Linked DNA regions of Zea mays. Each later gene encodes a partner of the first gene's protein in a complex. Links are inferred from orthologs where the notes say so. Each region holds a gene or a part of one and is shown in the gene's direction. Other genes may lie near its edges.

The links.
Region 2: 7-hydroxymethyl chlorophyll a reductase, chloroplastic (region 1) and uncharacterized protein LOC100272914 share a complex: the UniProt entries of both Arabidopsis thaliana proteins name them as parts of the SGR1-CCE-LHCII complex. The link is inferred for Zea mays from reciprocal best matches to the Arabidopsis thaliana genes HCAR and ACD2.

Annotation. Positions count from the first base shown.
Region 1 is NC_050096.1:206,310,894-206,315,447, forward strand, and holds the start of 7-hydroxymethyl chlorophyll a reductase, chloroplastic, read left to right. Parts: upstream 1-1,448; 5' UTR 1,449-1,552; coding exon 1,553-1,764; intron 1,765-1,871; coding exon 1,872-1,956; intron 1,957-2,435; coding exon 2,436-2,544; intron 2,545-2,797; coding exon 2,798-2,882; intron 2,883-2,980; coding exon 2,981-3,022; intron 3,023-3,236; coding exon 3,237-3,315; intron 3,316-3,730; coding exon 3,731-3,782; intron 3,783-3,877; coding exon 3,878-3,940; intron 3,941-4,033; coding exon 4,034-4,131; intron 4,132-4,349; coding exon 4,350-4,385; intron 4,386-4,466; coding exon 4,467-4,528; intron 4,529-4,554. UniProt on the Arabidopsis thaliana protein: Probable iron-sulfur flavoprotein that converts 7-hydroxymethyl chlorophyll a to chlorophyll a using ferredoxin as a reducing equivalent. Catalyzes the reduction of a hydroxymethyl group to a methyl group. Belongs to the chlorophyll catabolic enzymes (CCEs).
Region 2 is NC_050096.1:144,516,656-144,520,878, reverse strand, and holds uncharacterized protein LOC100272914, read left to right. Parts: upstream 1-1,572; 5' UTR 1,573-1,584; coding exon 1,585-1,965; intron 1,966-2,712; coding exon 2,713-3,330; 3' UTR 3,331-3,488; coding exon of another isoform or gene 3,489-3,492; 3' UTR 3,493-3,721; downstream 3,722-4,223. UniProt on the Arabidopsis thaliana protein: Catalyzes the key reaction of chlorophyll catabolism, porphyrin macrocycle cleavage of pheophorbide a (pheide a) to a primary fluorescent catabolite (pFCC).

The DNA of each region.
Region 1 (4,554 bases):
CGGTGTCAGGTATGCTAGGCGAGGGCCGCCTCACGTGAAGGTGGACAGGATCAAGACCAAGGTGCTCATCTCGGCTAGGGTCACCATTGTTAAGGCCGCCGCTGCCAAGGTCTACTTCACTATGAGGATCAAGTGGTCGCGCAACGGGACGCCTATGAACAAATGTGTTTGCTGCACACCGAGATGGACAAATGGTTGCTTTCAGTTGCAGGAATAAATTCTGCAGTCATTAGCTACCTGGGAGATCTGTGTGCATTGTACATCATGTGTTTTGTGCTTCGCTGTGAGAATGTGTAACACATGGAAGGATTCAGAATCTGTGCCCATTGCATATGATATATGTCTCGTGTCAGATTTTAACTACAAAACATCTGAAGCAGAGCTCGAGTTAGCTCAAACAATCTATCAGATTTTAAACTGAAGAGTGAAATAACATGCGAGAGATGAGTTCACTGGCAAGCTATTGCTCCATATATACGTGGTGGACTGGAATCGCGTGATGTGTGCTGATAGATTCTGCTAAGGCAAAAAAGAATGCTTAGTTTTTCTGGTTTCAACGTAGATCATCTTTACCACTTTATGAACAAATTAGATAAAATTACTACTTTATGCAAAAATTAGGTACAATTACACATAAATAGTGGTCATCTTTACCACTTTATGAAAAAATTAGATAAAATTACTACTTTATGCAAAAATTAGGTACAATTACACATAAATAGTAGTTTGGGCCTTTATTGGATTTACATCCACACCCATCTAACCAACAGAAGATATATATTTTGTGTTTTGTAAAACAAAGTCTATCAATAGGTAGTGGTTTGAATATTTGTTTGTTGTACATCCACCTTCATCTAACCAACAGAACCCACATGTTTTCGTGATTTGTTAAAATAAAGTCTAATTGTTTGATATATAGAAACCGTAACAACGCACGTGCAATTAGCTATAATAAGATTACATATTTATCTCGCCAATATAATAGTTTTACAGTGATATTTTGCCACATAGATTTTGCATATCATAATGTTGTTTATCGTTTCGTATCTATGTTTTATACTATTTTTTTTACTTTCGTAGCAACGCATGGGCATGAACCTAGTCATATATATGATCGCGTAAAAAATTATTTTATATTGTATACTACTGTTTATAAGAGTTAAGTTTAAAATAGCGGTTGAGATATGAGATATGATGAGTAAGGTGTTGAAGACAATCTAAGAGTACGGATCGTCGTCCCACCAAAAGGAGGGACTACGAAGTAAAAAAATACATATATGGGCGGCATAATTTCTGTTAACTTTTTATCCGGGGTATAGTGTTGAATTTTGAATATTTTTAAATATGAAAACCAAAAAGATGCACTATGCATCGATGGGTGGACATTTTGCAGGCTCCGAATTTTCCTCAAAGGGTGGACATGAGCCGAAATTCATGAGGTGGCCCAGTAACAGTAGTTTCTCTTAAAGGCTCAAGGCATGACTCCTCCATCTCCACTCGATCCTCCGTCTTATCACCGGTGAGGTACTGAGGTGAGACGATCTCCGCCACCATGGCCTCCAGCACCTCCCTCTCCCTTTGCTTGCACGCCTCGTCGCCCTCGTCCTCGTCTCCTGGACTCCGCCGACCCTCCCTCGCCTCCTCCTCGTCCTCCAGGTCCGAGAGAACGCGCAAGATCAGGGCCAAGGCGGTCAGGGAGGACTGGAGGCAGAAATCCAAGCCCATCCCTCCTGGCGCCGTCTACCCTGCCAAGGACCACTGCAGGTATATGCCTGCTGTGCTGCGCATTTCTTTGTTTGTTTGTGTGTTTATGTGATGCGAATATGCGATGCTTACCTCTGTTCCTATTTCTACTCGTATGGCGATTCAAGCCGTTGTGGGCTCTGCGACACATACTACGTTGCGCATGTCAAGACTGCCTGTGCCTTCCTGGGAGACGGCATGTCCCGTGTCGAGGTCACCTCCCTTCATCTTCGCATCACATCACCTGCCTAGAACGGCTCAAACAGTTTGCTGAATGAAAACAAAAATGATCGTCTGATGTTTGATCAAGCCATGGGCTGCAGTGCTGCACGCAGTTACTCCCTCCGTCGAAAGTTATAGTTCAACTTTTCTAACTCTGACCAAGTTCATAGAGACCATCTACAATATCAAAATGATTTCATCAATTTCTTCGTGAAAAATGTCTTGATAGTTTATTTGAACATATACAGAGGGAGTATATTTTTTTATAAAATACTTAGGTCAAGTCAAAGTTAAAAGAAGTTTTGATTTAGAATAAAGCTAAAGTGAACTATAATTTAGACCGAGGGAGTAGTAATGCTCGACATGAATTCTACACTTTGTTTCAGTGAAATAAAGCGGGGAACTCTCCTGTTTCCTAAAAAAAGTTGACACAAATTTACAGATGCCAACACTCTCCTCACTATATTTAGGATCTTGAGCGACAAGTCCACGGGAGAGGCCGGAAGGAAGGCATGGATGAAATGTACTTTGGAGTCTATGACCAACTCTTGTATGCCAGGAAGACCGAACCTGTTGAAGGTACTAATTACCTTTTACAAGTTGTTCTTATCCTTCAACAACCGCCTGCATCCATCTAAGGAAGCACACATATGCAATATACCAGTCTTGTTCACTGCCCTTCCATAACAAACCGAAACCACATACACCTCGAATGTTGCATCTTATTTCCTACACTATCTTGATATACTCAACAAACCTTTGTTAGACAAAACTGTACCCTGACGACTTATGTTTTGTACCCTGTAACATATATGTGCCTCACATGCAACAGGAGCCCAGTGGACGGGAATAGTGACAACAATCGCTGTCGAGATGCTGAAAGCAAACATGGTTGATGCTGTGGTTTGTGTACAAAGGCACCCAAACAAGAATCAAATGCCACATCATTCTTTCTCAGTGCTATGCACAAGCATTACCACATGGATTCAAATAATGTTTTTTACCCCCTCTGCAGTGATCCTGACGACAGGCTTGCTCCAAGACCTGTTTTGGCCAGGTATTGTGAAACTGATGGCTTTCAGAATTGTCCTTTATGGCTTGTGTATAACACTCCTTGACTGGATATACTTTTGCAATTCCAGACTTTCTGTAACTATTTTGAGCTTAAACTTTTGTTATCAGTCCATCCATGAATTACTCATGCTAATCATTATGTCCCTTGATTTCTAGAATGGAAGTGACATTTAATCTCAGTAGCCATGCTCTTGTAGGACACCAGACGAAGTAATTGCAGCCAAAGGTGTGAAGCCAACATTATCACCAAATCTCAATACACTTGCCTTAGTCGAGGTAAGTCGCTCCTTTTAACTCTATACTTCCCATGCCCCCTTATTCTTGATGCAAGCTATGGTGCCATGCCTCCTTTCCCTTTCTTATAACATATAGAAGTAATAATGGGTCATATCAGCAGATCTCTGAGAGTCAGAGAGAATCAGCTGTCCTAATATTAATTTAGGGTTAATTGATCCAGATATTCGTTCCCATTTCCCAATTCAAGAGAATTAGAAGTAGTTCAATTATATTTGAATTTGTTGCTTGGCAAGACCGCAAATGTAATTCTATTAGCCTATTAAATCTGGAGTAGCCCCACATTCTAGTGGGTTCCAAAGCCTATTCCAATCATCCCTCCAACCATAACAATACATATGATATCCTATAGTGACCAGTTTATAAATCCAGAGAGTTTCACAGTTTCCTTTGGCAGGCAGCTGGTGTAAAGCGGCTTCTTTTCTGCGGTGTGGGCTGTCAAGTGCAAGGTCTTTTCCTTTACCTGGCCTTTCTTCTCTTTCTATTGCTGATGTTTTATCAAATGTAAAAGTAAAAGTTGCTAAAGTTATTGTTTGAACTACAGCTTTGAGATCTGTAGAAAAGTACCTTGGTTTGGAAAAGCTTTATGTGCTTGGAACAAACTGTGGTAATTTCCATTTCTCCTCTCAAACCAGTCAATATTTACATTTTCTGTCGTGGAAGATAATATTGTAGCTCTAACATACTGTATTTTTCTTAGTTGACAATGGTACGCGTGAAGGGCTTGATAAATTCTTGAAAGCGGCAAGCAGTGAGCCAGAAACTGTTATGCATTATGAATTTATGCAAGACTATAAGGTATGACATTGAAATAATTAGCTGCATACATTCTTTTTCCCACATTGGTAGGTTCATGTATGGATAATCAATAGGATAGGAATACAGTTTTCCATATCAACAGCTCAAGGAGCAGTTTTAGGATCAACACAAGAACACATGGCATTTACAGAATTGCCATGATTTTCCTTAGATTTTTTTTATGTATGATCACATTGTATAACTGAGAATATTTACAGGTGCATCTAAAGCATTTAGATGGGCACATTGAAGAGGTAAATATTTGTTTGCCAATAATTCTGAGGCTTTATGGATTCTACAATGGAACTATTTAAGTCAGGGCCTAATTTTTGCAGGTTCCTTATTTTTGCCTGCCAGCAAACGACCTGGTAGATGTTATTGCACCGTCATGCTATAGGTATTCTCTATTCAGTATATCGGGTT
Region 2 (4,223 bases), about 62 Mb from region 1:
ATTGCAAACTTAACCTTGTGCGGATTTGTTACTCTTGGAGCCTTGTGCTCCTTGACAGTTAGAGGTTGCTTGGGAGTCTCCAAATTTGTGGACGACCCCAAGAAGTTTATATTACCCGCTCTTTGAGCAAATTTGAGAAGAGATTGCCTTGACCTTTGTGGTCGGCTTGTGGAGGATTAGGGTTGGAAAAGACCCGGCCCTTTGTGGGCTCCTCAGCGAGGAGTAGGACACCTTTGTGGTGGTTGCCGAACCTCGGGTTAAATCGCATGTTCTTGTGCGTTCTTGTCAAGTGCCTAAAATTGTTGGTTGTTTTATATTCATTTATTTGAGTGGATTTTCTGTAGGGAAAGTCATTAGCAAAATCTTTCACTACTTCGTCATATTAGTTTAACTGATTATTTAATCTAAGTTGAGCAGGTTCAAACTTGTTCAGTTGTAAACAAAATCAACTGAACCGGTTTGCACCAGTGCAACTTTAATTTGACATATCTCGAAGTTTTTAGTGAAAAATTTCAGGTGTAGCCTATTCACCCCCTCTCTAGGCTACTTTCAGTGACCTGTCATGGACCGTCATCGCTGTTCACGTTGCAGAGCCGAACCCAAAGTATTGCTCGTCACGAGAAGTGACTAGGCTTCATTGGTGTTTGGTTTTAAATAGATGGTGGTCATCATAGAGGTGGTGTACTATAAATCAGCGATAGAGATAAAGTTCAAGACCGCATCCGAGATAGTGTTATTTATTTTACATCTTATCTACAATCTCGCTTCGGTCATTAGTAATTGGCGCCCAAATTAGGTCCAAGACACTCCTTCACACATTTTGCCTTTTTAAACGCAATAAAAAATATGGACCTTCCGATTTTCCGAACTATCCTCCAAGTTATTAGAGTTAATAGATAATCGTGGCTGGGCAAAATACTCGTGGCTCGTGAGCTCGCTCGACTCGTGGCCAGCTCGGCTCGACTCGACTCGGCTCGTTTCAATTTTATCACGAGCTGAGCTAACATCTCAGCTCGGTTCGTTAACGAGCCAGCTCGACACGAGCTCGAGCCAGCTCGTTAGCTCGAATGAGCTAGCATTTATCTGTAAAACAAAGCCTATACTTGTATTAGATGAATTAATAAGTGATGAACTATGTTAGTTTACGGTTTAGATGATGTGATATATAAAATTATGAGTATTGTTAGTCTTTTCTAGTGTTAAATTAGTATGAAATTAACTAGCAATTAATTATATTGTTGTATATATACATGTATAATATTTTTTGTTCTGGCTCGCGAGATAAACGAGCCAGCTCGAGCTCGCAAACGAGCCGAGCCGAGCTGATTCTCTGGCTCGGTTGCTTAACGAGCCGAGCCGAGCCAGCTCGTTTCCTTAACGAGCCAGCTCGAGCTCGGTCGAGCCGAGCCGAGTGGCTCGATATCCACCCCGATAATCACGTAAATTCTTTTTTGTGCGTGCATTGGCGATAGCGCTGCCTCCTCTTTGTAGCTGCTACCTGCTAGTTCTCACGTCACTGTAGTCTGTAACGTCGTCTTCTTACTCCCCCTATCCGACGCCGGGACAGGAATCAGCTTCCCCTCCATGCTCCGGCTGGAGCAATATCTCCGGTTGCTGCCGGCGACCAGCCACGCTACAGCGCCCGCGTTGATCTCGGGTTACTCTTTCCTCTCCAGTCCTCTCCCTCGCCTCAGTGCCCTCCGGCTAGCCCGCTCGCGGCCTCCCCCGCTCAGGGGCAAAACGTCGAGCCCCGTGCGCGCCTCGGCGGAGCCGGATTCTACGGTAAAGCGCGCGCCCGAGATGGCCCAGAGGGAGGTGGCGCGGGTGGTCGCGGATCAGGCGGTGGCGCGTTTGGGCGCGCGGCTGCTGCCGTCCGCCGTGCCTGCCGACGTCGTCGAGTTTCGCAACGCCGCCGGGAACGCCGTCGGCTCGCTCGACGTGCAACGGGGCTCTCCTGGCTCGTCGGTACAGTTCAATAGTGATCCTATTTTTTTTTTTCTTGTGGTAGTACCGTACCATGTTAGTATAATACAGCTTTCGTGTGGTTGCATACCAAAAGATAAGGGCATACTACTATACTGCTCTGTGCGTAATACGGTTATGGGATCTCCAGTATGACTCGGAATCGGCACATCATGCATTCCACCATTTTTCCTTGGTATATAGTACTCAAATACACACATCACCCCATATATGGCATCTGTATTGAATACCAAAAAATGGCTTGTGTTTCAGTTCAGTATGGTTTGGTGCACTTGCTGACCGCCTACTTCTCGCCAATTGGATAATTGTTGTCCACTGATCCATTCAAGGTGAATTGTCAAAGTTTTAGATGGAAATATTGCTAATGCAACTCTATCAAAGCATCTTGTCAATTGTAGGTTACTAACAGTTCTCCATTTGAGTCCCTTAGATTATTGTTGTGACTTGTGAGACTGCCGAGTTCCAGATAAAGAAACTGGCAATGATCCGTCCCGTGATTTCCAAAACTTAAACTGTAATCGCAGTCCAATCTGAATATCACTGTCATATATGTTGTTGTCCTTGAGCTGATAGTTCAATCTTAATATGTGATTTCAGTCATTGAAAACAGCAATGTCGTCGAGGATGGAAGAAAGCTTGCATTAACATGCTTCCTGTTTGCTACTGCTGTAAGATGTAGTAAAAAGAAACGATGACAGGACCTGATGTGCGTTTCCTCCTTGTCTACAGATTGATTTCATGCTGCAGTCCTCGCTTCACTGTGAAGTCCCGAACGGTGCCATTGACATCACCTCAATTCTCATTTTCCTGAACGCCTCGACGGACGCACCACATTTCCTACTGGAGCTCATACAAGGCAGCTCAACTTCAATGGTGGTGATTCTGGACCTGCTTCCACGGAAAGACCTCGCGTTTCACCCGGACTACCTGCAGAAGTACTACGAGGAAACTGGAATGGATGAGCAGCGCAGAAAGATCGAGGAGCTACCGCAGGCTCGTCCATACAGATCTCCGTCACTCTTCGTGCGCAGCGCATGCTCGCCTACAGCAATAATGGTGAGCATTGACTGTGGACAAGGGGGTGAGAAAGCCTTGGAAGAGATAATACATGGACAGTTAGCAAAGGTCATTCAGGAGGCTCTTCAGACTTGGCTTGACAACTGTGTTGATTCCACCATAGAGATGGATGAGGCGGAGAGGGACTGCCTGCTCAAGAGGGACCGGATTGTAAGGTCGAAATCGATAGAGGTTGACCTGACTGCAAACCTTCCCAGGATGTTTGGTCCGGATGTGTCTAGTCGGGTCATAACTGAAATCCGCAAGGCCTTTGGTGTACAAGAGCCGTAAGTCGTTCATAAATACAAGCATGTAGTTACTTTATTGTAGAGAAAAATTGTTGTGAGTCCATGAAACCCCCTTATTTGAACAATCGAAAGTATATGTGCTAAAGTTGTGTATATATTACTACCAAGTGCTAACTGAGATGATGAAAGTGAGCTATGCAGGTGAAGATGATCAGTTGTTAGGACCAGGTTTCCAGGAACAGTCTCTCATCACAGAGTTCCTAAGCCGTTCCTGTCTTCCTGATGCTAACATACCCAATAAGCATAAGAATTAGCTCTGCCTAAAAAGGAGGTACTGAATGGCGGTGTGTTTTGCTGCATCTTGTTTTATGTATATAAAACTTTGGTGTATATGGTGTACATATTAAAAAAATATCCATCCATGTTAGATCTACTATCCTTTGCCGCTGTATGTATTTTGCAAAGAACACTCTCCATCACCATTTTTCGCAATGTTCGGATATGGCATCATAATAGTATTATGTGTACCTGATATGTTCAAATGACAACTACAACCAGGTTGTTCCGTGTTCAAGCGAAACTGTGGCGAGCTAGCATAGCAGCAGCCACTCCTGAGCTCGGATGCACATGATGATGGTAACAAGTAATGTTCGATAATATCGGTCCTATGAAATTTGTTTTGATCCCGGAGGGGGGGGGGGGGGGGGGGGTCAAACAAGTAGCTACTGTCTTGTGCGTATCTGGACGTTGCATAGTTCGTGACGGCCGTTCGGGTTTATGCATTTGCTGGACTTTACATCAGTAACTTTTGGACTTTGGCGATAGGATGAAAATCTGTTTCAGAATGAAATTCACGTATGTATACAATTGTGCACGATAATACGTCAAGGAAATCCCTGGATTAAAACAAAGTGACACGTTGCGGTGTGCCTCATT